7 linked regions of the Callithrix jacchus genome follow. The protein of the gene in region 1 interacts with the protein of each later gene in a pairwise test. Links are inferred from orthologs where the notes say so. Each region holds a gene or a part of one and is shown in the gene's direction. Other genes may lie near its edges. The genes, in order: KXD1, C3H4orf46, EXOC7, MOB1A, CCDC185, MAP1LC3A and LRRC45.

Evidence for each region.
Region 2: the proteins of KXD1 (region 1) and C3H4orf46 interact in binary tests that used the Homo sapiens proteins (3 or more experiments, as listed by UniProt). The two-hybrid records come from large-scale screens. The link is inferred for Callithrix jacchus from reciprocal best matches to the Homo sapiens genes KXD1 and C4orf46.
Region 3: the proteins of KXD1 (region 1) and EXOC7 interact in binary tests that used the Homo sapiens proteins (3 or more experiments, as listed by UniProt). The two-hybrid records come from large-scale screens. The link is inferred for Callithrix jacchus from reciprocal best matches to the Homo sapiens genes KXD1 and EXOC7.
Region 4: the proteins of KXD1 (region 1) and MOB1A interact in binary tests that used the Homo sapiens proteins (3 or more experiments, as listed by UniProt). The two-hybrid records come from large-scale screens. The link is inferred for Callithrix jacchus from reciprocal best matches to the Homo sapiens genes KXD1 and MOB1A.
Region 5: the proteins of KXD1 (region 1) and CCDC185 interact in a two-hybrid assay, tested with the Homo sapiens proteins (2 studies listed by BioGRID and IntAct). The two-hybrid records come from large-scale screens. The link is inferred for Callithrix jacchus from reciprocal best matches to the Homo sapiens genes KXD1 and CCDC185.
Region 6: the proteins of KXD1 (region 1) and MAP1LC3A interact in binary tests that used the Homo sapiens proteins (3 or more experiments, as listed by UniProt). The two-hybrid records come from large-scale screens. The link is inferred for Callithrix jacchus from reciprocal best matches to the Homo sapiens genes KXD1 and MAP1LC3A.
Region 7: the proteins of KXD1 (region 1) and LRRC45 interact in binary tests that used the Homo sapiens proteins (3 or more experiments, as listed by UniProt). The two-hybrid records come from large-scale screens. The link is inferred for Callithrix jacchus from reciprocal best matches to the Homo sapiens genes KXD1 and LRRC45.

Annotation. Positions count from the first base shown.
Region 1 is NC_133523.1:17,269,793-17,273,980, forward strand, and holds the start of KXD1 (kxDL motif-containing protein 1), read left to right. Parts: upstream 1-1,388; 5' UTR 1,389-1,652; intron 1,653-4,188.
Region 2 is NC_133504.1:37,670,846-37,674,945, forward strand, and holds the start of C3H4orf46 (renal cancer differentiation gene 1 protein), read left to right. Parts: upstream 1-1,300; 5' UTR 1,301-1,516; coding exon 1,517-1,702; intron 1,703-3,287; coding exon 3,288-3,443; 3' UTR 3,444-4,100. Other genes in the region: ETFDH (electron transfer flavoprotein-ubiquinone oxidoreductase, mitochondrial), read right to left, coding at 831-864.
Region 3 is NC_133506.1:131,998,421-132,001,920, reverse strand, and holds part of EXOC7 (exocyst complex component 7), read left to right. Parts: intron 1-736; coding exon 737-904; intron 905-3,500. UniProt on the Homo sapiens protein: Component of the exocyst complex involved in the docking of exocytic vesicles with fusion sites on the plasma membrane.
Region 4 is NC_133515.1:39,015,391-39,019,625, forward strand, and holds the start of MOB1A (MOB kinase activator 1A), read left to right. Parts: upstream 1-1,435; 5' UTR 1,436-1,648; coding exon 1,649-1,662; intron 1,663-4,235. UniProt on the Homo sapiens protein: Activator of LATS1/2 in the Hippo signaling pathway which plays a pivotal role in organ size control and tumor suppression by restricting proliferation and promoting apoptosis.
Region 5 is NC_133520.1:5,346,495-5,350,707, reverse strand, and holds the start of CCDC185 (coiled-coil domain-containing protein 185), read left to right. Parts: upstream 1-1,413; 5' UTR 1,414-1,441; coding exon 1,442-3,340; 3' UTR 3,341-4,213.
Region 6 is NC_133506.1:4,744,815-4,748,209, reverse strand, and holds MAP1LC3A (microtubule-associated protein 1 light chain 3 alpha), read left to right. Parts: upstream 1-1,272; 5' UTR 1,273-1,419; coding exon 1,420-1,459; intron 1,460-1,554; exon of another isoform or gene 1,555-1,623; coding exon of another isoform or gene 1,624-1,630; intron 1,631-1,782; coding exon 1,783-1,838; intron 1,839-1,926; coding exon 1,927-2,033; intron 2,034-2,315; coding exon 2,316-2,478; 3' UTR 2,479-2,895; downstream 2,896-3,395. Other genes in the region: GPI-anchor transamidase component PIGU, read right to left, coding at 3,303-3,395. UniProt on the Homo sapiens protein: Ubiquitin-like modifier involved in formation of autophagosomal vacuoles (autophagosomes). While LC3s are involved in elongation of the phagophore membrane, the GABARAP/GATE-16 subfamily is essential for a later stage in autophagosome maturation.
Region 7 is NC_133506.1:137,627,136-137,631,383, forward strand, and holds the start of LRRC45 (leucine-rich repeat-containing protein 45), read left to right. Parts: upstream 1-1,448; 5' UTR 1,449-1,703; coding exon 1,704-1,941; intron 1,942-2,313; coding exon 2,314-2,375; intron 2,376-2,723; coding exon 2,724-2,794; intron 2,795-3,042; coding exon 3,043-3,221; intron 3,222-3,362; coding exon 3,363-3,491; intron 3,492-4,248. UniProt on the Homo sapiens protein: Component of the proteinaceous fiber-like linker between two centrioles, required for centrosome cohesion.

The DNA of each region.
Region 1 (4,188 bases):
AGCCTCCTGAGCAGCTGGGACCATAGATGGGGCCACGGGCCCATTTTATTTTTTTCTTTTTTGTTTTGAGACGGAGTTTCGCTCTTGTGAGGTTCTCGTGAACCTCACAGGTTCACGAGATTCTCCTGCCTCAGCCTCCCAAGTACCTGGGATTACAGGCGCACACCACCACATCATAATGAAACCCTGTCTTTACTAAAAATACAAAAAATACAAATAATTTTTGTATTTTTAGTAGAGACAGGGTTTCATTATGTTGGTCAGACTGGTCTTGAACTCCTGACCTCGTGATCCGCCAGACTGGGCCTACCAAAATGCTGGCATTAGAGGCGTGAGCCATGGCACCGGCGAGATCCTATTTTTTATTGTTATTTTTAAAATTATTTATTTATTTATTTTGAGACGGAGTTTCGCTGTTGTTACCCAGACTGGAGTGCAATGGCGCGATCTCGGCTCACCGCAACCTCCGCCTCCTGGGTTCAGGCAGTTTTCCTGCCTCAGCCTCCCGAGTAGCTGGGATTACAGGCACACGCCACCATGCCCAGCTAATTTTTGTATTTTTAGTAGAGACGGGGTTTCACCATGTTGACCAGGATGGTCTCGATCTCTTGACCTCATGATCCACCCGCCTCGGCCTCCCAAAGTGCTGGGATTATAGGCGTGAGCCACCGCGCCCGGCTGAAACTTCATCTTAAAAACAAACAAACCAAACGAACAAACAAAAATCATTAAGATCATGAAAGACGTGGAGAACCTGACACAAATGGTGGATTGGGTAAGAGACTAAGGAGACATGACTAAATGCAAATGGAAATCCTTTTCCTTTTTTTCTTTTAGTTTTTTAGAGGCGGGGTTTCTCCATGTCAGTCAGGCTGGTCTTGAACTCCCAACCTCAGGTGATCTGACCGCCTCGGCCTCCCAAAGTGCTGGGATTACAAGCGCGAGCCACCGCGCCCGGCCGGAAATCCTTTTTCTTATGGAGTTTCGCTCTTGTCTCTTAGGCTGAGGTGCCGTAGCACCGGCACCACCTCAGCTCTGCTGATTCCCTGCCTGGAAAGCAGGACACGCGGGTCTGGTTTGGCCACAGACCACTGGAGCATTTACGATCTTGGGGACTGTTGCCGCTCTGGGCCCTCAGTCACACCATCTATAAGATGGAACTCTTCTTTGAGCGTTCCCTCTGCCAGGCTGCTCTGAACCCGGGGTTTCGGAAAATACGCAGGCGCAAGCCGAACTGCTTGATTGGCTATTCATTGTGACCACCCGCGAGCTGAAGCTGCGTCTAAGCTCCGCCCTTTCCTGTCGTGACTCCAAGCACGCAAGGGGTTCCAGGATACGTCGCCGCCACGCGCGCTCGCACGATCGGTGCGTGGTGACGTTGCGCCGGCGCGGGCGCCATCCCGGAAGCGCGAGCGAGGCCGCCAGATGTGCAGGTGCCGCCGCTACCGACGCCGGGGCCGAGTTTGGGGTGGGGCTGGGGACTTCAGGGCCGCGGGGAACCGGGCCGGGTCGGGCGCGGCCCCCGGGCTGCGGTGGGGTGGGGTGCGCCGCTGGCCACATCTGGTCACTCCTGCTGCGCACAGGCCTCAGTTTCCCCGTCTGCGCAATGGATACACCTGCGGCGCCGCGGGCTGGATCTGGATCCGGATCAGGTGTATAGAAATAGGAAGTGGGGCCGCCTGTGTTCTGGGTGTGCCGTGTAACCTGGAGCTGGGCGTTGCCCGGCTTGTGCCTCAGTTTCCCCGCATTGTAGGTGACGGGGCGTGAGGGGATATCTGAGCTCCTCCCCACTTGGGGTTTTTCAGAGCTTGGATGGCGGAGTTAAATTATGTTAAATAATCTGGATAGAACCGTTGTCCTGCTCTGCCTCTCCGTGTGAGTTTTGGCAACTGCGCCCACTCTTGTGAGCCTCAGTTTCCCTCGTAGGTGATTGCGTCTGCCTCATAACGGTGATTGAGGATTAAATGAAGTGCTCTACAAGTGTCTGTCCATAATATATTCTTAGAAGCCCTTGGGATGCTCTCTAAATGTTGACTCCTGGGCCCTGTCCCGGTACTCCTTCACACTCCTCTTGGAAAAACAGCCCGTTCTGAGCTCCACTCGTTATCACCGTTGGTTTCAATTCTCACAGACAGCACTGTGAGATCTTCATTCCACCCTTTTCCCATTTTATGGTTGAAAAAACTGATTCAGAAGGGTGAAGTGGCTCTCCTAAGGTTAAACAGCCTACGTTTCTTCAATAAATCCACATTTGGAGTTGGGATCAGAGCCCTTGCTTGGTCAATTTCACTAGGTGGGCCAGACTAGCAGTAATCAGGGAAGGCTTCTTGGGAGAGGAAACTGCAGGGGGAACAAGAGGGAGGTGCCATAAATCAGCCCTCACATCTGGGAGTCAGAGACAGGAAAGATTTCTGTTTTGAAGTAGGGGTGTATCCCAGAAGGTCCCAGTAACTGTGTCCCACTGCCACTAGCTACGGGCTTCCTTCCTTTCCAGGTGTCTTTTTTTTTTTTTTTTTTTTTTGAGACAGAGTTTTGCCCTGTCGCCAGGTGTCAGGCTGGAGTGCAGTGGCATGATCTTGGCTCACTGCAACCTCCGCCTCTCAGGTTCAAGCAATTCTCCTGCCTCAGCCTCCCGAGTAGCTGGGACTACAGGTACACGCCACCATGCCTAGCTAATTTTTATATTTTTAGTAGAGACTGGGTTTCACCATGTTGGCCAGGATGGTCTCAATCTCTTGACCTTGTGATCCACCCGCCTCCCAAAGTGATCCGTGATCAATCTCTTGACCTTGGATCAATCCGTGATCTGAAGTCAATCTCTTGACCTCATGATCCGGCCTCCCAAAGTGCTGGGATTACAGGCGTGAGCTACTGCGCCCCACCTTTTTTTTTTTTTTGAGACGGAATTTCGCTCTTGTTACCCAGGCTGGAGTGCAATGGCGTGATCTTGGCTCACCACAACCTCTGCCTCCTGGGTTCAGGCAATTCTTCTGCCTCAGCCTCCTGAGTAACTGGGAGTACAGGCACGCGCCACCATGCGCAGCTAATTTTTTGTACTTTTTAGTAGAGATGGGGTTTCACCATGTTAACCAGGATGGTCTCGATCTCTTGACCTTGTGATCCACCCGCCTCGGCCTCCCAAAGTGCTGGGATTACAGGCGTGAGCCACCGCACCCAGCTTTTTTTTTTTTTTAATTGAGATGGAGTCTCCCTTTGTTGCCCAGGCTGGAATGCAGTGACTTGATCTCAGCTCACTACAATCTCTGTTTCCAGAGTTCAAGCAATTCTCCTGCCTCAGCCTCCTGAGTTGCTGGGACTATAGGTGCCTGCCATCATACCTGGCTAATTTTTGTATTTTTAGTAGAGACGGGAGTTTTACCATGTTGGCCAGGCTGGTCTTAAACTCCTGACCTCAGGTGCTCTGCCAGCTTCAGCCTCCCAAAGTGCTGGGATTACAGGCGTGAGCACCCAGTCCAGGTATCCTCTTTATACAAGAGCATGCTTCTTTGGGAATGTGGGGACTGTGGGTGTCTCTGCCTGGCATGTCACAGGAGTTCAATAACCATAGTAATTATTGGAGGGGGGTTTCACTGGGTGTGGCATTGTATTTCTAGAAGGTGCTGCAAACCACTGGCCAGCCAGATTCAGATCACAAAGAGATACCCTTGGCCTCCATGATATTTTGGGAAAAAGTATTCATTGCTAACATTTGTCAATGAGTCAATTTCCTAGAAAAAAAAAATCCTTCAGAGGTCATACAGAAATCAGCTGCTGTAAGAAGCCACTGTCCTGTCACTGCTAGATATTGTGCATCTGTTAAGATCCACACATTTGTGAGACCTCTGGGCTGTGGACATTTGTTGTGACTTAGGTTCACTGCTGGGATTGTGACAGTGTCCCAGTTCTTTAGTGTCCCTGATCCTCCATTTTCTCATCTATAAATAAGGATAGCAGTTAGTATGTATGAGCTTGAATAAATAGGAGAGTAGGTTAAGTGAGCTCTGAAACCCTTTATTTTTGGGGGGAATGGAATCTCTGTTGCCCCAGCTGGAGTGCAATGGTGTGGTCTCGGCTCACTGCAACCTCCACCTCCTGGGTTCAGGTGATTTTCCTGCCTCAGCCTCCTGAGCAGCTGGGATTACAGGCGCCTGCCAGCACACCCAGCTAATTTTTGTATTTTTAGTAGAG
Region 2 (4,100 bases), on another chromosome or scaffold:
TTGAGACGGAGTCTGGCTCTGTCACCCAGGCTGGAGTGCAGTGGTGTGATCTCAGCTCGCTGCAACCTCTACCTCCCGGGTTCACCTGAGTCTCCTGCCTAAGCCTCCTGAGTAGCTGGGATTACAAGCATGCGGCATCACACTCAGCTAAGTTTTGTATTTTTAGTAGAGATGGGGTTTCACTATGTTGGTCAGGCTGGCCTTGAAATCTGGACCTCGGGTGATCCACCGGCCTCGATCTCCCAAAGCGCTGGGATTACAGGCATGAGCCACCGCGACTGGCCTTTATAGTTAATTTTAGACAAGGCAGAAAACTCCTGGCTCCAGATACACTCAGGTGACTTGGTTAACATATGAATGTTAACCATGATGTGACAGATAAGACTTCAATTTCTTTAGACTGAACCAGGATGGCTGCGAAGACGAAAGTCAGGTCAGGACCAAGGATAAAAACTAGGCAAATACAACTTTTTTTCCCCCCCCATTTAAAACAAAGCTTTGAGGATTAGAACCATGATTCGGGAAGCCTTAGTTCAGGAGTCCACCGAGATGTGTGTTTGTTGACCGGTGGTGGTGGGTGGGGTGTGTTGACAAGTTTTCTCCGCCCTTGACCTTTAGCCTAGATATTATTTTTTCCAACTGAGGCAACCCCAGAGAGAAGCAGCCAGGGTCCACCACCCGGCTCACAGAGCGTGACCTTTGCCCCAGATAGCCTCAGAAAGCAGATGAGAGAAGAGGTGAGAGGTGAGAGGTGCCTACAGCCCCCAGGACCGGCCTTGTCGCTTTTGCCCTAATTCCTCCACTTATCCCCACCTTACGTTCCCTCTCACCCGGGCAGGACAGCTTGGCTAGCGGCACCAGCATGTTCAAAGTCACCAGGATTCTCGGTCGGACAGAACAGGAGGAATCTCCGCTGCTCGCGGCGGGCGTTGGACCTCTAGGCCGCGGGGGGCGCCATCACCTGCCGGGAAGCAAGAACTCGACCGCAGTTCGTCTACCCAGCTCTGCCGACAGCTCTTGCTTCGCGGCGTTCCCGCCTCCTTCTCACTCTGCGCCGGCGCCATGCATGACGCGGCGGACAGCCGAGGCTTCCGGGTCATGTACCAAACCAGGGAAATTAGGGACTCCAAGACCCAGCCGGGGCGCGGTGCCAGCCAGAGCGCGGCTAGAGAGGTTCACGAATCCCACAGGACAACGCACGCGCAGTGAAAGACAGTGGAAGGCGGGGCGACGCGCACAGCTTCCTGGGAGGGGTAGTCTTCTGCACGCGCGCCCTTCCAGCCCTACTAGAGGCTCGCGCAGTAGCCTTGAGCTGCCTAAGGTGGATAGATGTCATCTGATTGGCTGTCCCGAAAAATGAAAAGTCTTTGTGATCCAGGGCTGAGACCCGTGAGGAGACGGGGCGGGATTTCGGGCGCTAGGAGGCGGGGCCACTTGGCTTTGGGCGCGAGCGGTTAAAAGACAGTTGGTGTCGGTTCGGGTGCTCGATTGGATTCCGCGGTCTCAGTCCTCCCCCATGGCCGACCCTGTGGAGCTGCAGGTTTCTTCGCCTCCCCCGCCTCCTCCTTCTTCTCCCTCCTCTGCAGACGCCTCTGCAGCATCTTTCCCCGGCGGCCCAGTGAGTTTGAGCTGGCCAGTTCCGAGCGGGAGCAGCGGCCGAAAGGTTGACCCGCTGGAGGAAGTGGAGCTGCAAATCGGAGACGTGAGTGTGTAGTTGGGACTGCGTCCCTCCTCGGCGCCTCTGGGAAGACTGGCGGCGGCTGGGCCCGCGAGGCCAGGGAGTCGGTCCCCCAACCCCACGACCGGGGACGACCGGCCCTTCTGCACCCGAGAGCTTGCGGGCGGGAAGCGGGGAGTGGGAGATGCCAGCAGCTAAACCCTTTCTGAGTGTTCCCCTTTAGATTTAGCGGTGAGGAGTCTTAAGGGTTATCCATCCACCCGCCCCACTTCTAACTGGTCTCTTTTTGTCTCGCCTTCTGGTTTCAATCATCCGCAGTAACCCGAAGCCATGCAGCTCTGCGCCGCCCAGTGCTGGCTTTTTGCCTCCTCCCCTCCCATCAGAGAATAGTTTTCACTGCATGGGTTTGCTTGCTGCCTGCGAGTGTTTAGGTTCAGACTGTGATTTTTTTCCATGGGACTTAGAGCCCGCTGTTCTAGTTGGCCACCTGCCCAGGGACAGATGATAATGCCATTGTCTGCCTCAGGCCTGCTTAGCGGTGGACCCAGCTTGAAGGGTTTAGGTCACGTGGATTGGCTTCATTAAGGGTTTAGTTCAGCACTCCTTCCTTTGTATGATTGCTAGCACTCCTCCCTTTGTAGAATGCATACTTAGTAAGGATAGTTTCTGTTAAATCTCGAGTCCCCAGAAACTAGCACCCCACCTCCCACCCCTAACTCACACAAGATAGGGAGGGGGAGAAGGGAAGTCACAGTTTTATGGTCTCTCGAGTGGGTCAAGTGGAATGAGGTATGTAGGCTGTAACCTTCTGGGAGAGCTCTGTGGCATGACCTTTCTTAAGGATTGGAAACTGCGGGATGACCTCGACTATCTCATTGCTGCGCATGTATTTTTTTAAGGATGACTAAAGTGCATATTCAGCCTTTATTTTTGCAGAACAAACTGATTGTAAGTAAATATGTAGAATTTTCTTATATATTCTTTGAATATTCTACAAAGAAATATGTAGAATGAAGTGCTAATGTGTTATTTAGGAAAAACGTTTTATTTTATATCATCAGCAAAGAAAATATTTGCCTAAAAAGTGAAATTTCCACCAGGAGCTGAGTGTTTTCTGCATTCGTGTGTGATTTCGTTGATGTTGTTTGTCAGAGCTCAGAGTTTCTGTTCTTTGATCTATACATTTTCATTGTTTAAAGCGTTCACAGGTCAATGCCCATGTTACCCACATAGCAGTAAGAATTATTTATGATGAATTCCTTCAGATACTTCTGACACTTAGTGTGAAGGGGTCCAAGTCATCTTGTTGAACTGAGACTAGTGTATTTTCACAGAAAACAACAATACTGACTTGTCATGTCTCATACATAGTGAATATTTTTCTAGCAGACCTGTTTCCTCAAAGCCTACTCAATTTTCAAACTAAAGCATTGGCTCTTTCAGGGAACCTAAGAAATATTGAAGAGCCAATGCTTTAGTTTGAAAATTGATTACTTTTAAAGAAAACAGGGGCATTGGATTCAAGGCCTTAAGCTATTTTGAGACTACTTGTAAAATGAGATGAGAATTTAAAAAATAAACTTGTTTGACTTTTTTTTTTTAATTTTAGGCAGCCTTTTCATTAACCAAACTCCTTGAAGCCACATCTGCAGTATCAGCTCAAGTGGAAGAGCTTGCCTTCAAATGTACAGAAAATGCACGTTTCCTTAAAACATGGCGGGACCTCTTGAAAGAAGGCTATGATTCTTTGAAACCTGATGACTAATTTGACATACTTCGTTGTTTAATAATGACTGTATTACTTCATACTTCTTCATATGTCATATTTGTACATTTACCACATGTATAGGATGACCTCTGTTCAGAAGTTCTGTATGCACTCAGAATGAAATTTTTCTTCGTTTTTGAATGGATGTTCAATCATAACCGTTGATTCCATAACAACTTAAGATAACAAGAGTTCCGTCCATTGGCCCACCCGTGTCTTCCCTCTTGACAGGTCTCTGTGCCACCATTTGTAGCAATGGCAGTGAGAGACTTGCTCCCGGTATTATGTTGGGGTCTTTGAAGCCTGTGATTGTTGGGTTGGTTCTTTTGGTCCAATAATTGGCTACTATGGCCAGGTTGGGAAATGTCCCAGGAGTGAGCTCTAGCATAATAGGATGGTGGAGTGCGCCAGGTAGCCCAAACAGACTCCCCATCTTGTTCTTTGCATTGGTGAGTCTCTTCTCAAACTCCACTATGTCTGTGAGGACGGAGGGGAGTACTGGTGTCCCATCCATACACAGTTCTAGAAAGGTCTGGATAGTAAAAACTGTCGTCATCGGGCTAAACTGTTGTTTAGCAACAAGCTTGACTTGATCTAAGAGCTCCTTTCCTTGAATAGGAGAGCAAATACAAACTCACCAACCCAAGGTTGACT
Region 3 (3,500 bases), on another chromosome or scaffold:
CTGGATGTTAACTTTATGTTTTTTACTTTTTTTAAAAAAAGTACCATTCAAAACTTACAACTAGGGCTGGGCAAGGTGGCTCATGCCTGTAATCCCAGCACTTTAGGAGGCTGAGGTGGGTGGATCATTTGAGGTCAGGAGTTCAAGTTGAGCCTAGTCAACATGGTGAAACCCCATCTCTACTAAAAAATACAAAAATAGCCAGGTGGTAGTGGCATGTGCCTACAATCCCAGCTACTCAAGAGGCTGAGGCAGGAGAATTGCTTGAGCCTGGGAGGTAGAGGTTGTAGTGTGCCGAGATCACACCACTGCACTTAGTCTGGGCAATAGAGTAAGACCCTGTCTCAAAAACAAAACAAAAAAAAACCTTACAACTAATTATCAGTTCTATTAAAGGGTATTTTTCTCTTTTGAGACTTTGCCTGGCTGGATGCAGTGTCTCATACCTGTAATCCCAGCACTCTAGGAGGCTGAAGTGGGCAGATTGCTTGAGCCCAGGAGGTGGAGCCTGCAGTGAGCCATGATGGTGCTACTGCACTCCAGCCTGGGCAATAGAGAAAGACCCTGTCTCAAAAAAAAAAACTTTGAAAGACGGCCTGATTTGGGACAAGATGTGGGTGGCTTGTGACCCAGAATGGAGAGCAGATGCTAGGAAGGGTTGACAGGTAGATATGGCAGGTCTGCAAGGAAGGGCAGGGCCTGGCAACCACACCTCTATCGCTCTGTGTCTCCTTAGATTTCATGAACGTCTACTACCAGATACGCTCCAGCCAGCTGGACCGCTCCATCAAGGGCCTGAAGGAGCATTTCCATAAGAGCAGTTCTTCCTCTGGGGTTCCCTACTCCCCTGCTATCCCCAACAAGAGGAAAGACACACCTACCAAGAAGCCAGTCAAGCGGCCAGGTGAGCCCCCATCTGCCACACCCAGAGGCTGACTGGGGCCTGCACTGCTTTTGTCCAGTCTAGCATTCGCAGCATCAGATTCCTCCAGAATTTGTTGTCATGGTAACCCCGACTATAGGTACACAGGACAGAAAGCAAGTGTCTTCCCACCCAGTGAGGCCCCCCAAGAGTGAGGCTCTTCCTTCCAGCTGGCAGAGCCTGGGGGTTACACAGCTTCTTTGTAGTGGGGGGCTTACAGGTCCTCAGTTAATCCCATCTGAGACAGGCTGCAGAGGCCTCCAGGGCAGAGCCCCTGCCTGGACCCCCTCCCTCACACACACATCGTCCTGTCAGGAGGCCTGGCACACTGCTGCAGCCAGAAAGGATGCTGGGATAGCAAGGGGACAGGCGCTCTAACCTTCACCTTCCAGAAAAGCAGGGTGACCTGAAGTGACGTTTAGCTGAGAGCTGGATGGGGAGAATTTCACTTTCCCGGTCAATCCAGAAAGGAAAGAAACCCCAGAGCATCCTCTCAGAAGAACTTAAACTGGCTTTGGGCTCCAGTGTGAGTCAGGCCTTGTGGAAAGGGGCACCACGATGAGAGGCCTGGGCAGAGCTGTCGCTGTCCTGGGTGAACATCTCATCATCTCTCTGTTCTTTCTCACTGGCATCATGTCTCTTGTAGTCTGTGCTCCAGGTAAATAGCGTCTCTGTGAGCCACAGCTTGGCAAGCCTGGTCTTGCCACTGAGAGATGCTTCCTGCAGCTTGAGGAGATGCTGGGAAGTTCCAGTGGGGACTTGGTTATTCGGTGGGACTGAGATTGCTCTGGGAGAGAAAGCCAGAGATGCTGGGGCTGCTCCCACCCAGGCTGGCCCCCTGCCCAGCTGCTGCTGCAGGCACCTGCCCTAGTTGCTGTGGGACTTGCTTCTTGTGACAACAGGCTTTGGGTAGAGCTTACTTACACCCTCGGTTTCTCCGGTTCCTACCTGCCCCACCCCTCAGAGAGCACCTGCTCCCCTGCAGGCCTTTGTTTAGGGTTTGGAGAAACGGGCAGAACAGGGGCTGCTCTCAGAGGCACAAGTGAGTAGAGCATTAGGGAGCTGGGGCCTGGGGCCTTCTCCCTCCAGTGTGGATATCCTGCCCACCTAGACAAAACCTGCTGCCAACAGGGACTGCCAGTCCAGCCTTTGGGCTCAGCTGGCCGAATGGCGGCCAGGGCATTTCTGTGTCTTCTGTGTGGCGTGGGGCAGCTGTCTCCATAAGGCTGCGAGGGTGCTTGGGCCCCAGCTAGTCTGCACTGGCTTCCTCTTCTGCCTGGTTCTGTGACTGGCCCCTGGGAGGCCCCAGAGCCCTATATGCACTGCCCTAAGAGTGCCCGCTGGCCATGCAGCAGGGATCTGATCTCAGGGAGCTCACAGTGGATGACATCGATCCTTGCCCCAGAGACACAAGAGGAAACCTCTCCGGCTGTGGGGGTCTGTGGGGTTTCAAGAGTTGTCAGGAACTGGTGGGCTCAGGACTAATGTCAGGCTCTAGGGAATCAAGCCCCAGGGACTTCTAAGGAAAGGGGCAGGGGTGCCTCCCAGGTAAAGCACCAACCTCGGCATCCCTGGAGGTAATTGGGTGCCTGATGGGTTTGGTGCCTACCAGATCCACATACTGACCCACATCCTCCCCGGTGTGCATCTGCCTCTGCTCCTGGTGGGTTGTGGGACAGGATTCAGATTCACTCTTTAGTGAGCCGTGCTTGCTGAAGGGGAGAGAATGAGCAAGGCAGATGTGAGCCAGGCCATGGGACTTGGTTATTAGGAGCTAATTGTGAGCCGGGTATGGTGGCTCATGCCTGTAATCCCAATACTTTGGGAGGCTGAGGCAGGCGGATCACCTGAGGTCAGGAGTTCGAGACCAGCCTGGCCAACATGGTGAAACTCCATCTCTATTAAAAATAGAAAAAAAAAATGAGCCGGGCATGGTGGCACATGCCTGTAATTCCAGCTACTCAGGAGGCTGAGGCAGGAGAATAGTTTGAACCCGGGAGGCAGAGGTTGCAGTGAGCTGAGATCGAGCCACTGCACTCCAGCCTGGGTGACAGGACGAGACTCTGTCTCAGAAAAAGAAAAAAAAGAGTTAATTGTGGTGTGATGTGGTGTGGCGCGGTGCGGTGCAGGTGCAAGCAATGAGCCTCCACACACTGCCCCTTCCTCCCTCAGCTTTCTGAGGAGCTGCCAGGACGCAGCATCCTCACTGTGCTCAGATAGGCAATGGGGGGGCGGGGGCGTCTTGGGTGCCTTTCTTCTCCCATACATTTTGTTAACAAGGCAGCTGCACTGGTCTGTTTGAGACGGGAGTTGATTTCTCCACGTCTTTGGCCCTGAGATGTCTCATTCCCACAGAGGAGGCTGACCCAGGCAGCTGTGGGCACTGCCGTTTTTGTTCTGATTGTTTTCACGTGTGATATTAACTTTTGTTTTTTTCCCCCATGCCAAGAGCATGTACCTTCTCCTTCCAAGTGCACCCTCCAGGCTCTCTGTGTGGTGGCTTCTGTTAACCCTTCTTGGCTTTCGGATTTTTTCCTGTGTCTTTGGTGGTTTGGGGAACTCTGGTGTGTGGGCTAGG
Region 4 (4,235 bases), on another chromosome or scaffold:
TAGGTAAATCCACAGAAATAGAAAGTAGAGTAGTGATTACCAGGGGTTAGGGGGAGGGAGGTGGGTAAAAAAGAGTGACTGCTGACCGGGCGCGGTGGCTCAAGCCTGTAATCCCAGCACTTTGGGAGGCCGAGGCGGGTGGTTCACGAGGTCAAGAGATCGAGACCATCCTGGTCAACATGGTGAAACCCCGTCTCTACTAAAAACACAAAAAAATTAGCTGGGCGTGGTGGCGCGCGCCTGTAATCCCAGCTACTTGGGAGGCTGAGGCAGGAGAATTGCCTGAACCCAGGAGGCGGAGGTAGCGGCGAGCCGAGATTGTGCCACTGCACTCCAGCCTGGGTAACGAGAGCGAAACTCCGTCTCAAAAAAAAAGAGTTACTGCTAATAGCTATGGGGTTTCTTTTCCCGGTGACGAAAATGTCGTAGAATTATGGTTAGGCTGGGCGCGGTGGCTCATGCCTGTAATCCCAACACTTTCGGAGACTAAGGCGGGTGGATTGTTTGAGGTCAGGGGTTTGAGACCGAGACCAGCCTGGCCAATATGGTGAAACCCCGTCTCTACTTAAAGAAAAAAACAAAACTAGCCAGGTGTGGCAGCGCACCACTGTAATCCCAGCTACTCAGGAGGCTGAGGCACAAGAATCCTTGAATCTGGAAGGCAGAGACTGCAATGAGCCGAGGTTGCACCACTGTACTCCAATCTGGAAGTGGGCTACAAAGTGAGACTCTGTCTTAAAAAAAAAAAAAATTAGTGGTGATGGTTGGCACACTTCGAAAACATAAACGAAGCCAGAGGCAGTGGCTCACATCTGGGATCCCAGTACTTTCGGAGGCCAAACCAGGAGGATCCCTTGAGCTCAGGAGTCCAAGAGCAGCCTGGGCAACACAGTGAGACCCCCATCTCTACGAAACTGAGAAAATTAGCAGAGTGTGGTGGCATGGACCTGCGGGCTCAGCTAGTCGGGAGGCTGAGTCAAGAGGATCACTTAAGCCAGGGAGGTCGAGGCTGCAGTGATTGCGCCACTGCGCTCCAGTCTGGGCGACAGAGCAAGACCTCATCTCAAAAAAAAAAAAAAAAAAAAAAAGAAAAAGACTACTAGAGGGTACATATTTAAAGGGTAAATTTTATGCTATGTGAATATATTTCAAGTAAAAATTAAATTTAAATTTTTAAAAATCGCAGGACTAGACAGCGCTTATAGAGGCCCCTGCACAACCTAGGGAGCGGGGTCGAAACCCAGCAGAATCAAGATACACCAGAGCAGGACAAGGTACTGTCCCTTCCGCAGGACCGCGGCCCTCGCCACGCCTTCGGGGGAGGGAGGTCCTGGCTTGGAGAGCGATGATTGCTGACTTCTAGGAAGAGGCGGAGCGAAAGGGGGCGCGTCAAGTGGTCCTGGCGCAGCGAAGCCTTAGCTCGCGAGATTTTGCTGGTTCCGCATTTCGGGTCTGTGAGGTGGGGTTGGCGGGGGAGGCGGGCGTCGAGGTTTGTAAGGGCTCGCAGCTGCCAGAACTCCGGCTCCCAGCGGCGGCGGCCCGGCTTCCGCTGCCCGTGAGCTAAGGACGGTCCGCTCCCTTTCGCCGGCTCCGAATCCCGATCCGGGCGGGGGCCAGAGGCCCCTTGCCTCCCCTCTGAGGACCGGAGATGAGCTTCCTCTTGTGAGTGGGGCCGGGCCGCGGGCCGAGGTCGTAGGGAAGGCCTCCCCAGACCTGAGGCGAGGGCTGGGCCCGGGGGCCCGGGCGGGGCGGGGTAGCTGGCGTTTGTTTTGCCTCTGTTGGGGCCCGCGCTGGAGGCCGAGATGTTGGGAGAGGCGGACAGAGATGAAGGTCGAGGTAAAGGGAACGGAGCGAGAAAGCTGGGGAGTAGAAAGGCCCTGGGGCCGCCGCGCCTCCAAACTTTTCCGCCCGAGCGCCCCCAAGGGCGGGGTGATGATCTGGGGGCGGAGCCGCGGGCCCCCAGTTTCTTTCGTCTCGAGCCTCTAGAAACGATCCCTGCCGCCTTAGCTCGTCGCTCTGTTAGAGGTCCAGTTTCATTATCGTCGGTGTTAAATTCCGCCCCAGGAGAATGTGCAGTGCGGCGGTTTGAGAGGTTGATGTTAAGATGGGGGCCTTGGAGTCAGATCGTTCTGTCCAATTCTGATTCTGCCCACTTACTGGCTTTGATTTTAACTAACTTCTTTTGTCCTCGGTGGAATCGTGGGTTTTTAATCATTATGTAATACACCGTATTCTTACATAGTACATTGCAATATTATTATAATTTGGAAAGTTAAAATTAAAAAAAAAAATTCATTCTTAGTCCCATTACAGAAACACAGTATTGCCGTTTTAGTGCACTACAGCAGTTAACTTAATACACATACCTTAGAATCTCATTTTAGAGATAATGCCTGAGCCCAAACTAAAAAGTTTGTAAATGGATGATTCTTATGCACATTAAAGGTTGAGAAGCACTGCTCTAGCACAGTATTTTTTATTCTCAGGTGGCTCTCTCCACCTTATATATTGCTTAAATGTGGGTTTTGTGGTTGAATGAATAATTATCCATTTTTAGTTATGGATATAATCCACAAGCTTGACATTTTTAAGTACAATATAAAAAGCACTACATAGTGGTTTTTTTTGGTAACCAGAGTTTGCCCACTTTATTGTAAGAAACCTGGGATTCCTTCCAGTATTTGCTCTTATAAAATAGCACTATTAAGACTATGTTTATCTGCGTCTCATTTTCCTTCCTTTGGGTTATTTTTATAAAAGAATGATCTCTAAAATACGATGACGTTGTCGAAAAGCCTGTATGATTTAGATTTATTTCCATATTAATAGAAGTATTCCCCCCTCCTCCACTTTTTTCTTATGAGTCGATATTTAGTGAATGCATAGTTGCTTTGTGGACCTTAATGTGAGATTTTTTTCTTTTTCTTTTTGACATGGAGTTTCACTCTGTCACGCATGCTCGAGTGCAATGACATGGTATCAGCTCACTGCAAACTCTGCCTCCTGGGTACAAGCAACTCTCCTGCCTCAGCCTCCCGAGTAGCTGGGATTACAGGCACTGGCCACCACACCCGGCTAATTTTTGTATTTTTAGTAGATACGGGGTTTTACCATGTTGACCAGGCTGGTCTAGAACTCCTAACCTCAGGTGATCCACCCCCGCACCCAACAGAGACTTTGTTTATTTAAAACTTGGCCTTCTTCATGGACTCCTGAGTTGTTCCCGATTTTTGGCCATTATGAATAATGCAGCTGTGAACATATGTGACAGGTTTTTGCGTGGATGTATGTGTTCATATCTCTTGGGTATATACCTAGGAGTGAAATTGCCAGGAGTGGTTTACATGGTAACTATGTTTAACCTTTTGAGGAACTGCCAAACTTTGAAAGTGCTGTACCATCTTACATTCCCATAAGCACTGTATGAGGGGTCCAATTTCCCCACACCCTCCATAGCACTTGTTAATTGTCTTTTTTTTATATGGTCACCCTAAGTGGATGTGGAGTGGTATCTCCTGATTTTGATTTGCATTTCCCTAATGACTAATGATGTTGAGCATTTTGTCGTGTGCTTATTGGTTATTTGCATATATTCCTTGGAGTAAAGTCTATTCAGATCCTTTGCCCATTTTTAAATTGGGCTGTTTGTTTTTGAGTAGTAAGAGTTCTTTATACATTCTAGATACAAGTCCTTATATCCTTGATTTTTTTGCAAATACTTTTTTCCTTGTTCAATATAGTTTTTTATCACATTAAAAACTTTCCATATTTGATTTTTAGTGTTTTCACAATTCTCTTTTACTTCTTAATCAGTCTTATTTAAAGTCCAAATTACTGAGGTTAAGTAAAAGTCCATAGTCTATTCCATTCCTCTTCCTAGAACTAATCACCAGTTTTGATGAGTTTAGGTTTTGTTTTTTTTTTTTTTTTTGAGGTGGAGTTTCACTCTTATTACCCAGGCTGAAGTGCAATGGCGGGATCTCGGCTCACTGCAACCTCCGCCTCCTGTGTTCAGGCAATTCTCTTGCCTCAGCCTCCTGAGTAGCTGGGATTACAGGCACACGCCACCATGCCCAGCTAATTTTTTTGTATTTTTAGTAGAGACGGGGTTTCACCATGTTGACCAGGATGGTCTCGATCTCTTGACCTCGGGATCCACCCACCTCGGCCTCCCAAAGTGCTGGGATTACAAGCATGAGTCATCGCACCCGGCGAGTTTAGTTTTTGATACTTTC
Region 5 (4,213 bases), on another chromosome or scaffold:
TCTCTCTATGTTGCCCAGGCTGATCTAAGCGATCCTCCTGCCTTGCCTTCCCAACATGCTGGGATTATGGGCATGAGCCACCACCCAGCCCAAGTCTTAAAACTTTTAACTGATGCTTAGCATGGCACCAAAATAGTATTTATTGAATGTATTCTGGTGCCAACCTCTGGATGCACAATTTCACCTGAGCTTCACAACAGTCCTGTAATGCTGGTATCATCAGGCCCCTCTTCCCACTCCACCTTGCTGGAACTGGAGGTGGGGAAGCTTAGGGAATTTGCCCAATAAAGTGAAGAGTGGTGGAGGAAATTCAAATTCATTTTCTCTACCAAATCCAGTGCTTTTCCCATTAGCCAAGGGTGCCTCAACAAGAAACAAGAATCCCACAAAACTGGAGGAAAAGGGCAAAAAATAATGTGATTTCAGCATGGTGTTCATTGATGCTATTGCAAAAATGTGCATGTGGCATTCATATTTTGACTATAGCAGTAATTACCACATTAGGGAATAGAGTCATCTCCTTCCTGTTCTAAAAATCTTAAAATATAAACATTAAAGCATACTTTGGGCTTGCTAACTTAAAACGGCAAAAGGGTGGTGTCGCTTTGTGTGTGTGTGTGTGTGTGTGTGTGTGTGTGTGTGGCCCTCGGCCCACTGCAACCTCCATCTCCCGGGTTCAAGTGATTCCCCTACCTCCGGCTTCGAAGTAGCTGGGACTACAGGCACCTGCCGCCACGCCTGGCTAATTTTTGTATTTTTAGTAGAGACAGAGTTTCGCCATATTGGCCAAGCTGGCCTCGAACTCCTGACCTTGTGATCCACCTGCCTTGGCCTCCCAAAATGCTGGGATTACAGGTGTGAGCCACCGTGCCCGGCCTGGTGTCGGGTATTAATATGCGTCCAAGCCTTTCTATTTGAGCACACTGCAGAGGTACACACATGGCGGACGGTGATTCTGCAGCTAAGGGTACCTCCTCCCTGAAACTGTGCCTCGGCCTTTCTACCCACCCCTTCCATTCTGAGGGTGACGCCTTCACCTGGGCTGTCTTAAAATCCTGCTATTTTTGTGCAAATGCGAGTTCAAACTTCTGCCTCAAACACTGGTGGGGGGACACTATGCACCTGCAGCTTTAAATGTCACCCTGATTTCCTACAGACCCCCTCCTCCAATCTGCAACCCCTCTCTCCCCCACCCCACCCCCACCCCCACCCCCATCCTCAGCCTCCTGTCCTTCCCATTCTAGGTTGCTAGCAAGGCTGGGGTGGGCGGCACCGGGCCAAGGCTGAGGACTGCGGGGACCCAGCTACCAAGCGCATTGTGAAGTGGCTGGAACGTCACAGGCGACCTAGACCTCGGGACCGGGGGGCGGGGCCGGTGTCTGCAGCGTCCTATGAAGGTCTCAGGCCCCTTGCGCAGACGCTGCGCGTGCCCAGAGGGAGGATGGCAGGCTTCGGTCACTCCTCCCCGCGGCTCTACCTGGACCTCTGGGAACCCCCACGGCCGGGCGAAGAGCAAGAGACCAAGCAGCGGCTGGGCAGGCAGAGGTCCAGAGCCGGCCCTGCCGCTTGCTCCCGGGCCGGGACTCTGGGTGCGGAGAGCGAGGATGGGGGGCCCTGGCTGCACCCGCACTGTTCGTTCACCCCACGCCCTCGCAGACGCGAGTGCCCAGACTCACCACGGGGCAGCCGAAGCCTGAGCGACGTGACCTGCAGGCCACTGGACCGAGCCAGGAAGCACGGGCCTCGCAGCAGGCGCCTGGAAGATGCCTGGGGAGAGGCAGGAACCAAGCCCCGCCAGGCCTGGCAGCCGCAAACCCAGCTGCTAGGCCAACGACAGCAGCCCTGCCCGCATTACCCTCTGGCCCAGGGAGACTCGCCCCCGCCTTACCCCGGAGAAGCTGGTACTCCCCTGAGTGGCACATTCAGGATAGAAAAGGCACAGGGTGGAGACCAGTGGGCAGTGCCGCTCAGCAGACGTCTAGGTCGCTGGTCCCCTTCCTTAGTTCTCTCAGAGCGGTCTTCTGTGCCCTCCCAAAAGTTCAGGCCACACTCGGCCTGCATGTGCACACAGAAGAGAGACAGCAGCGACCAGGTTGAGTCATTAGCCAGCCAGGACTTCCAGCCCTCGGCCTCCAGCAAAGAGAGGCGGAGCCCGCACACCCAGGTGTTGAAGAACAAGCTGGAAGAAGCAGTGATGTCCTCCCAGGACCAGCGGATTGTGGCCCTGGTGCTGATCCGGCTCAAGAAGGCCCAACGGATGCGGGAGCTGCAGCAGCAGGCGGCTGAGGCCTGGGAGGAGCTGAAGCGTTCAGATCAGAAAGTCCAGATGACCCTGGAGCAGGAGCGCCAGCAGCTGCTGCAGCAGAGCCAGGAACAGTGGCAGCAGGAAAAGGAGCAGCGCAAGACCCTCCCGGGACATGAGCAGCGCGGCCAGCGGCGGGACAGCCAGGGGAAGAACGTGCCCCCTGGGGAAAGCTGGTGGAAGGAGCAACCGGAGGACCAGGAGAACCTGTGCCAGGAGAAGCTGGAGAAGGCGCGCGCCCAGGCAGAGCACCAAAAGCAGTGCCAGGTGCGGTGCCTGCGGGAGCAGGAGAGGATGCCGCGGAACATGAGGGAGCAGCACAGCCTGCAGCTGCAGAGGAGGCTGGTGGAGACCTGTCGCAAGAGGCACCTGCATGCCGCAGAGGGCCAGAAGAAGGTCCAGGACACCAACCTGAGCTCCCTCATCAATTACCAGGCCCGGAAGGTCCTCATGGACTGCCAGGCAAAGGCCGAGGAGCTCCTTAGGCAGCTGTCCCTGGAGCAAGGTTTCCAGAGGTCCCAAGAGATACACCAGGGCCTGATGAAGGAGCGGCACCGTGAGATGAGAGAGAAGGCCCAGAAGGAGGAGGAGCAGTTGCAGCAGGCCAAGTGGCGCGCGGGGGAGTCCGGGGAGCAGAGGAAGATGCACAAAAGGATTCTGGTGGAGCTGGCAGATGAGAAGATCCGGCAGGCCAGGAGTCATGTGCACAAGACCGCCAGGGACAAGGTGCAGCGCCTCCGGGAGCTCAACCACCTGCGTGAGAAGAACCACCACATCCTGAAACTGAAAGCCGAGAAGGAGGAAAAGTGCCACATTGAGGGCATCAAGGAAGCCATTAAGAAAAAGGAGCAGAGGGTGCGGCACATTACCCCAGGGAAAGACTCAAACTTACAGGAGTTCCGGAAGCTCCCGCAGGCCTCCAGGAGAGAGAACAGAGGAGCAAGGAGCAACAGCTCCCTTGATCAGATAGAACTAGAGGCCCGCTCCCTGCCTGTCGGCAGAATGGGCGCCACTGAGAGCCAAGGACGCCAGGCTTAGAGGGAGCAGCCAGAAGGAGATGTGGCAATGTGATTCCTTTTATAATCTGATTACAATTGAACATTGATTTTTAAAAAGCATATAAAATTGCTGCAATTTCCTCTCATGAACTGGTTTATTGATTCACTTGGATAGTTTAGAGGGTTGGGGAGAAAATTTTGGGAATTTTTATGAAAATAATGTGGCTTTGTGAATTTTGATTTGAATAGAAAATACTCACTTAGCTCTCGAGTAATCTTAGAAACACATAATGGGCACATTTTGGAGATACCAGAGAAAAATCTCTAGTCAGGGATACAGTTCTGTGGTATGTCTTAAGTCTCTTCCAGTCCCAGAACTTATGGAAGGGTAAAGTATAAAGTACCTGTCATATGAAATCTCCAAGATAAAAAGAAAGTTTAAAAAGTGAGAAGTGGGAGGATTCCTGTGAACAAGCAGATTTGGGAGCCCTGCATACTGTGTCCTCTCTTGGGAGTTCATAATGCAATTTAAAATGTTAACGGCTCTGAAAAAGCATCAGTAAAGAAACGGATTTGTTTAATGTAGTGTTTTTCACAAATTATAGAGCGCCCCCCCCCTTTATTTTCTCAGATAATTTCATGGAATTGATGTTCTGTGAAACATTTTTGGAAACGGCCCTCTATAGTTTTTACCTGATTGTCAACTTCTCTGGCCTTCCCTCCCTGTGTTAATAGGAAGTGTTTATAACTCCAACAGCTCTATATCTTGACTATTCCACCATAGCTACACCATCTGATATGGTTTGGCAGTGTCCCCACCCAAATCTCATCCTGAGTTGTAGGTCCCATAATTCCCATGTGTTGTGGGAGGGGCCCTGGGAGATAGCTGAATCATGGGGGTGGGGGTTTCCCC
Region 6 (3,395 bases), on another chromosome or scaffold:
ATTATTTCAGCTGCCGCACTCAGTGGCTCACGCCTGTAATCCAGCACTTTGGGAGGCGGAGACGGATGGATCACGAGGTCAGGAGATCAAAACTATCCTGGGCAACGTGGTGAAACCCCGTCTCTACTAAAAATACAAAATTAGCTGGGTGTGGTGTCACGTACCTGTAGTCCTAGCTACTCAGGAGGCTGAGGCAGGAGAAATCGCTTGAACCCGGGAAGTGGAGGTTGCAGTGAGCTGAGATTGCGCCAGTGCACTCCAGCCTGGGCGACAGAACGACTCAGTCCCACCCCCCAAAAATAATTTCAGCAACAGTCTTTCGTGTAAGCTCTTTGTCACCACCTATCTTTACTTCTTAACTCTTAAATCATGGATCAACACCTCGTTGACAGCATTTTTCCTGTCAACGAGGTGTAAAGCGTTACATTTTACTGTAGCCTTCTACGTTTGCTGCTGAGAAGTTTGTTATTGGTGTAATTTTTAAAATCCATCATCCTTGGTCGCTTTTAAAATCGCATAGTCTTTGGAGTTCTGCAGATTCACTAGCGTCCAGATGTTCATCTCCGGTGTTTGCATTCCACCCGATTTTAAGAATCACTTCTGGCAGCTCTCCTTCAGGAACTGCCTCTGCAGGGAGCTCTGCCCCGGCCTGTGAGATCTCCCGGCATTGCCATCCGTGGCTTTTTCCTTTTTATTCTCCATCACCTGTCTCTCTGGTGAGCTGCTTCCGATCAGCCTCCAGGTCCGCGCACTCTTTTCTGCTGTCCTACACCTCATCCTCCGAGACCTGAATTTCCATGGCTCTACTTGTCAATTCTAGAATTCCTTTGCAAACCTGGGCCTTCTTTTGTGATGTCTTGCTTGATCCTGTGCCTCCTGCACCTTCTCCCGTCTCTCGTCCTGAGCCCCTAGAAGGCGCCGGCTGTTTCCCACGGTGCCCAGAATCGCGCCAGGCCTGGCACAGACTCGGTGAGGGCGCGGGGAGCGGTGCCGCGGGGCTGCAGCCTGGCCCGCCCATTCCCTCAGCCCTTGGCAGCCCCGCCGCCCTCCAGGCCTCACCTGAGTTCCGCGCCGGGAGAGACTCCTGGGCCGGCCATGACGTCACAGGACTGTGACGCGCCCAGGAGCCCCGCCCCTCGCGTCCCGAGCCGGGGACCCAGGGGCTCTGCGCCGTGACGTCATGAGCCCGGGCGGGCAGGTTGTGCGTCGGCCCAATGGGAGCAGTGCGCCGGCCTCCCCTTTAAGGAATGTTGTGACCTGACGTCACCGGGCGAGTTACCTCCCGCAGCCGCCGCCGCCGCGCTCAGCGCGAGCCCCGGAGCCCTTCAGCGTGAGGCACGGAGCCCCCGGAGCCCCCAAACCGCAGCCACATCCCCACGTCCCAGAGCCCCGGCCTGCGCGCCCAACCGGGCCCGCGCGATGCCCTCAGACCGGCCTTTCAAGCAGCGGCGGAGCTTCGGTGAGGCCCCGCGGGCAAGCTGTGAGCTCGGAGCAGGGGTACGCGGGGGCCCGGCCGACCCCGACTACCGCGGGTGACGTCAGTCCTGTGACGTCAGGCCCCAGCCGGACCCTCGGGATGGGAGGCTGACTCCAGCCTGGGCGGAGGCCGCCCACCTCCCCACCATGATAGGTGCTAGGGGCTGTGGGGCCTGCCGGCCCCGGGGGCGGGGGCTGGAGCTGGGGCGGGGCCGGGGGCCGCCCCTTGGGGACAGGCGGGGCGGAGACACGGGGAGGACCTGGGCCCGGCTCAGCCCGGCCTCAAGGTCCGGCCGCCATCCGCAGCCGACCGCTGTAAGGAGGTACAGCAGATCCGCGACCAGCACCCCAGCAAGATCCCGGTGAGTCCGGTGCCCCCAGCCCTGCCCCGCCCTGGCCGCGCCTCGCGCGCCCCCGACACGAACCCCTGCCCGCCTGCCCCGCTCCCAGGTGATCATCGAGCGCTACAAGGGTGAGAAGCAGCTGCCCGTCCTGGACAAGACCAAGTTCCTGGTCCCGGACCATGTCAACATGAGCGAGTTGGTCAAGATCATCCGGTGCGTGGGCAGCCGCCGCCAGGAGGCAGCTTGGGTCTGGCGGGGAGCCGGGTTCCCGCCGAGAGGAGGTGGGAGTGGGGTCAGTAGTGATGGGACCAGGCGGTGGGCCCCTGTTCTGGCGCGGCTGGAAAGGTCAAGGTCGGGGCTGCAGTTGGAGTCGGGTCAGAGGTGAGAGCTGGGGTGAGGATGGATGTGAAAGGCTGGGAATCATTCTGGGGGTCAGGGCTGTGCCTGCCCTGCAGCCACGTCCCTCACAGCCGCACACCCTCCCGCCTGCCTCAGGCGCCGCCTGCAGCTGAACCCCACTCAGGCCTTCTTCCTGCTGGTGAGCCAGCACAGCATGGTGAGCGTGTCCACGCCCATCGCGGACATCTACGAGCAGGAGAAAGACGAGGACGGCTTCCTCTACATGGTCTACGCCTCCCAGGAAACCTTCGGCTTCTGAGCCAGCAGTAGGGGGGTCGGCCTGGGAGTGGGGGGAAGCCCGGTCAGGCCCTGCCCAGAGAACCCCTGGTTCCTGAACTGAGCTGCCTCTGCTTGGGGGTGGGCTGGGCAGGGATGTGGCCCCGTAGTCAGAGGGCACCAACCCACCTCCTCTGCCCCTAAGTGGTTTTGTTAGGGTTGCCCCTCTGGGTGCTGGCTGGGATGGGGGAAGGTGGGAAGCATCCCCCCACACTCCTGCTGTGTGGTTCATCTTTTTTTTTAGGCCCCTGCCTGCCCCTCACCCACCCGAGGCTCTGCCCACTACCTGGACCTGCCCACCCCTGAAAGACTGGCCCCCCCACCCCTCCATCTCCACATGGTGTATGGATCTGTGGTCATTGTCCCTCTGCAGAATAAAGATTGCTCAGGCCTGCCTGGCCCTATGCCTCCAGCTGCTTGCTTGGGAGTGGGGAGGGTGCTGGTGGGGCTGTCCGAACCGTCCCTGGGCTCTGACATACCAGAAACACACACCTGTGTGTACTTTCCAGAACATTAGGGGCCACCCCCAGGAGTGCAATGCAGATATGGGCCCAGGGTAGGTTTCGTAACAAAAAACATTTATTAAGTAGCCACAACCTAACAAGCCCTGCTCACCTGCCTTTTCCAGAGCTCCCAGTTCCTCCCCAGAGGTCTTGCAGTCAGCCATGGGTCCCTTTTGATACCAGAGACTTGTGACCCTGGACTTGAACCTCTTCTGCCCAAGGACTCGCCTGCTGGCAACTCTGGCTGGAGGGCCTGGCCCAGTTTCCCGCCCCTGAGGTCCATGCAGCCCTGTGCCAGCCAGGCCTACTTGAGCACAAGCATGGCCTCCGTGCCGTCCTTGGCCGTCAAATAGAGGCCGTGTGTGAGGTAGTACTCCCGCCGCAGGAAGGCATAGAA
Region 7 (4,248 bases), on another chromosome or scaffold:
CCCAACCCTGTACTGAGCCCCTGGTGTCCTTGGGTGATAAAGAAGGGGCTAATAAAGAATTCCCCCTGCCCCTACAGGGTTGAAGTAGGACCCTGAGGATGGGTTCACAAGGGCCTGAGACCCTCCCCTTTCCAGGCCACAGAGGTCCACGAGGCCCTGATGACATTGAGGAAGCTCAGTGCCCCAACCTTCAGGTACAGTAATAGAACGAAGGGCTCAGAAACCACTCTGCCTGCACAGAGGGGGGTCCTCTGCACGTGACAGCCCCAGAGAGCCCCACTCACCAGGGGCAGGGAAGAGCAGGGCACGCCCTCCAGCCTTGGCGGATCATGGCTCAGACGGCCTGGGTCTGACCCTAGCCCTGCTGAATCACTTAACACACCCGTACCTCGGTTTCCCCACTGGCGGGCGGGGTTAATAGGTGTCCAGTGTGTGTAACGTGGAGCACCGAGGACACCACGCGTTCCGGGGACTTAGCCCAGTGCTGGCGCCCACCGGAGAGTGGGCAAAAGGGGAACTACTGTGCCTGGCGGCTGGGCCAGGTCTGCCGACTCGGGCCTCATTCTTGCCGTCCTGGGGTCTGACCTCCTCTTCACAGGAGAAACCAGGCTCAGGGCTCAGGACGGCGGCCCAGCTCTTCCTCTCTTTTTGCTGGCTTGGACTCCGCCTGGACGGCGCCTACCCCTGCCTATTTCTGCAAACCTTCTCCACCTTCCCGCAGCCCCGGCTGCCCCACGCACCCTTCTACCTGCTGCGAGACTCCCACCCAGGATAGCGCGGGGCGCGCTGGCGGGCCGGGGTAGGAGTCTGAGAACGGGGCCAACATCAAAGGCACAGGTGGGCGGCGCGGGGGCTGGCTTCGGGCCCTCACAGTGTCACACGTGGGATCGGGATGCAGGGTCCACGCCGCCCTAGCCCCTGCCCGCCGACCCTCACCTTCCGGAAACCAGCTCCTGCTCCGACTCCCTCCATGGCCGCCTCCTCGGCGCGCGCCCTAGGGAGCCCCGCTCCGCGCCCCCAGCCAATGAGACCCGAGCGCGCCCCCGGAGCCCCGCCCCTACCTTCAGCCAATGAGCCAGAAGCGCGCCCTCCCGCAGCCCCACCCTCACGCCCCTCAGCCCATGAACCAGGAGCGCGCCCTACCGGGGTACCACCCTCACGTCCCTCGGCCAATTATCCTGGAGCATGCCCTCCCGGAGCCCCACCCTCATGACCCTAGCCAATGAAACTGGAGCGCGCTGCTCCCCTTCGGATTGCTAGCCCAAGAGCGCGCCAGTTCCTTTGTTCTAATTGGCCCCCAACTAGCGCCGCCAGCGCAGCGCCTGCTGGGAGTTGTAGTTCCCGCGGCCGCTCCCGGCGCGCCTGGTTCCTCCTGGATACTGAGGTCCCAAAGCGGCTGTCGCGAGACCGGGGCCGAGGCTGCAAGCGCTGCAGGGCCTGGAGGGGGCGCGCGACGAGCCTGCCTGCTTCCTGTACGGGTGGTCCCCACGCACCGCGGGGCCCCAGCCCAAAGTGGACCTTGACTACCGCCCAGCCCCGCGCTCCCAGGACCTCCCGCCCGCACAGCCCACTCTGATTGCTCTTCGTCCGGGTCAGCGGAGGCCCAGTCTCCTGTACCCGGCGCCGGGGCTGCTCCGCACCAGGCGGCTCCCTTTCAGCAGCTGCGGGAGCATGCGAAGGAGGTCCTGCCGACCCCGCAGGTCATGGAGGAGTTCCGGCGCTGCTACAGCCGCTTGTGCAGGGAGAGTGGGGCCGAGCCCCAGGAGGCTGTCCTGCAGCAGCTGCACCAGCTTCCCAGGGGCCGGCTGGACCTGGCCACGCAGAGCCTGACAGTGGACACCTGCAGGGCCCTAGGCAAGCTGCTGCCGAGGGAGACGCTGTGTACGGAGCTGGTCCTAAGCGACTGCATGCTCAATGAGGAAGGTGGGCAGGCCCGACAGGGTAGGTCGCTGCTCCTTAGCTGCCCACGCCGTTGCCTTGGCAGCCCCAGAGGCCGCTTCCTCTCCAGGCTCTCCTCTTTCTGTACCGTAGTTAAAGCGAGCAGGACTGGAGGGCAATTCCTCTTTATGACGGGGGAAGAGGCCTTAACCTGCCGCGACTTACCTGGTTCCCTGCGTGCTGACGCGGCTTTGTGCTGCAGGGGCTGCAGGTGTTTCAAACACAGCTTCGCAGCGAGACTCTTGGCCAGCGCCAACCCAGACCACCGGGACAGTTGTCCTTCCCTGGGTCTAGGGAGCTGCCCTCAAAAGGGGCCCACAGGGAAGGTCTTGGGGTCAGCAGGGGCAGAGAGTAATCGCGGCCTCCCTTACACAGGGGCCACACTGCTGCTCCGAGGCCTGTGTGCCAACACCGTGCTGCGCTTTCTGGACCTAAAGGTGAGATACCTGCACTCTGGGTGTCCAAGTGTGCCACCCGAGGGCAAGAGGAGAGTGGGAAGATGCCAGGTCTCGGGGGGCCTGGGGTCTGGACAAGTGGCTGGAAACTGTAAGTGTCCCAGGCCATTCTCCAAAGGCCTCCTATTTGAGTGACTGTCTCTGGAGCAAGAGTTCACATCAGCTACAAGCAAGCCAGCCCCAGGAAGTTCTTGAAGGAAGGGAGGCCACACGTCTGCCCAGGGGGCACCCCAGCCTTGTCCACTGGCTGACCAGGGCCCTTGGGGCATGAGCGGGAATTCAGAACCAGTCAGGGTGAGGGGAGCGACTACCAGCCTGTTTCTGTCCTAGGGCAACAACCTTCGAGCCACCGGGGCTGAGGCTCTGGGAAAACTCCTCCAACAGAACAAATCCATTCAGAGGTGGGTGGTGGTCCTGACCCCACCATCACCCCAGGTCCCCTCTCTATGTGGTTGAGGATTGGCCCTAGAGCACATGGTTCTGCTGCCCAAGAGTTCACAATTGCCAGTTGTCTGCTGTGTTTCACAAACAGCAGTGAGCAGGCAGAGGCTCCAGCCCATCAGACCCCAAGCCAACACCATCCCCAGGCCCTGGACCCCATGGGCTAGGCAGTCCCCTGGGTTAACACTGGCTCCTGTCCTTCCTGCAGCCTTACACTGGAGTGGAACAACTTGGGCACGTGGGATGATGCTTTTGCTACCTTCTGTGGGGGCTTGGCAGCCAATGGCACGCTGCAGAAGCTGGACCTCCGCAACAACCAGATCAGTCACAAGGGCGCCGAGGAGCTGGCCCTGGCCCTGAAGGGCAATGCCACCCTCCAGCAGCTGGGTGAGGCCTCCAGGGTGCCTCGGGCTCCCTCGTCCCTCCAAGACTGCCTGTGCTCTTGGAAGTGAGGGGCTAGGGGACCAGCCAGGCCAGCTCCCCCTCCACCAGGTGCATTCCATCTGGTGACTACAGGTTTCTTTCCAGACCTGCGCTGGAATAACATTGGCCTCCTGGGGGGCCGGGCTCTCATGAACTGTCTCCCCAACAACAGAACCCTGTGGAGGCTAGACCTGGCTGGGAACAACATCCCCGGAGATGTCCTCAGAGCTGTGGGTACGCTGCAGGGCTGTGTGGAACGACACACGAGCCTCTGAGAAAGGCGTGTCCACTGAGGGCGGGGTGCTGGGCCTGGGACCAGAACTGATGATGAGAGCAGCCTGAGAGCCTGCAGAAGCGGAAGGAGCAGAGGGTCTCGGTGCACTTGATCGGCACTCACCACACATGGGCACTGTCCAAGACTCCCTGTGTGCTCCATGAGTTCTTACAACCTATGCAGTGGGGGTACCCATTACATAGCTGCGGAAGCTGAGGCCTTGTGGCTCACAGCCCTGGCCTTGGTGGCAGTGCTGATGCTTCAGGTGGCCCAGGCCTTGGCTAGGGAGGGGCTTCTTGGCATTTGCTCCCTGGTCAACCTGAGTTGTGGCCCTGCATGTTGAGTCCTGTGGGCTGGGGCTGCCTGGTCTGTGTGGCCTCCACATTCCCACCTACCAGCAACCCCACGTCCTTGCGGCTGATGTCTCAGTATCAGGCCTCATACTCCCTCATCCACACACAGTGGCAGCCTCTTCCGGCCCCTGTGCCGAGGGCTCACCCTCCTGCTGGCCCTGCCTGGCCTCTGGCTTGAGCTGCACTGTCCCTGGCGTTGCCTGAGTGTTGGCCTGGCTATTGTCATTGCTCCTGACCTCTGCCACCTCCCCACATGCCATGATCTTTCCAGAACGTGAGCTGAGCACAGTGTCCACCTCAGCATTGTGCAGTGCCCCTTGATCTTTGGGATGGTGGCCAGATGCCCCAGGATGGCCCTTGCCTC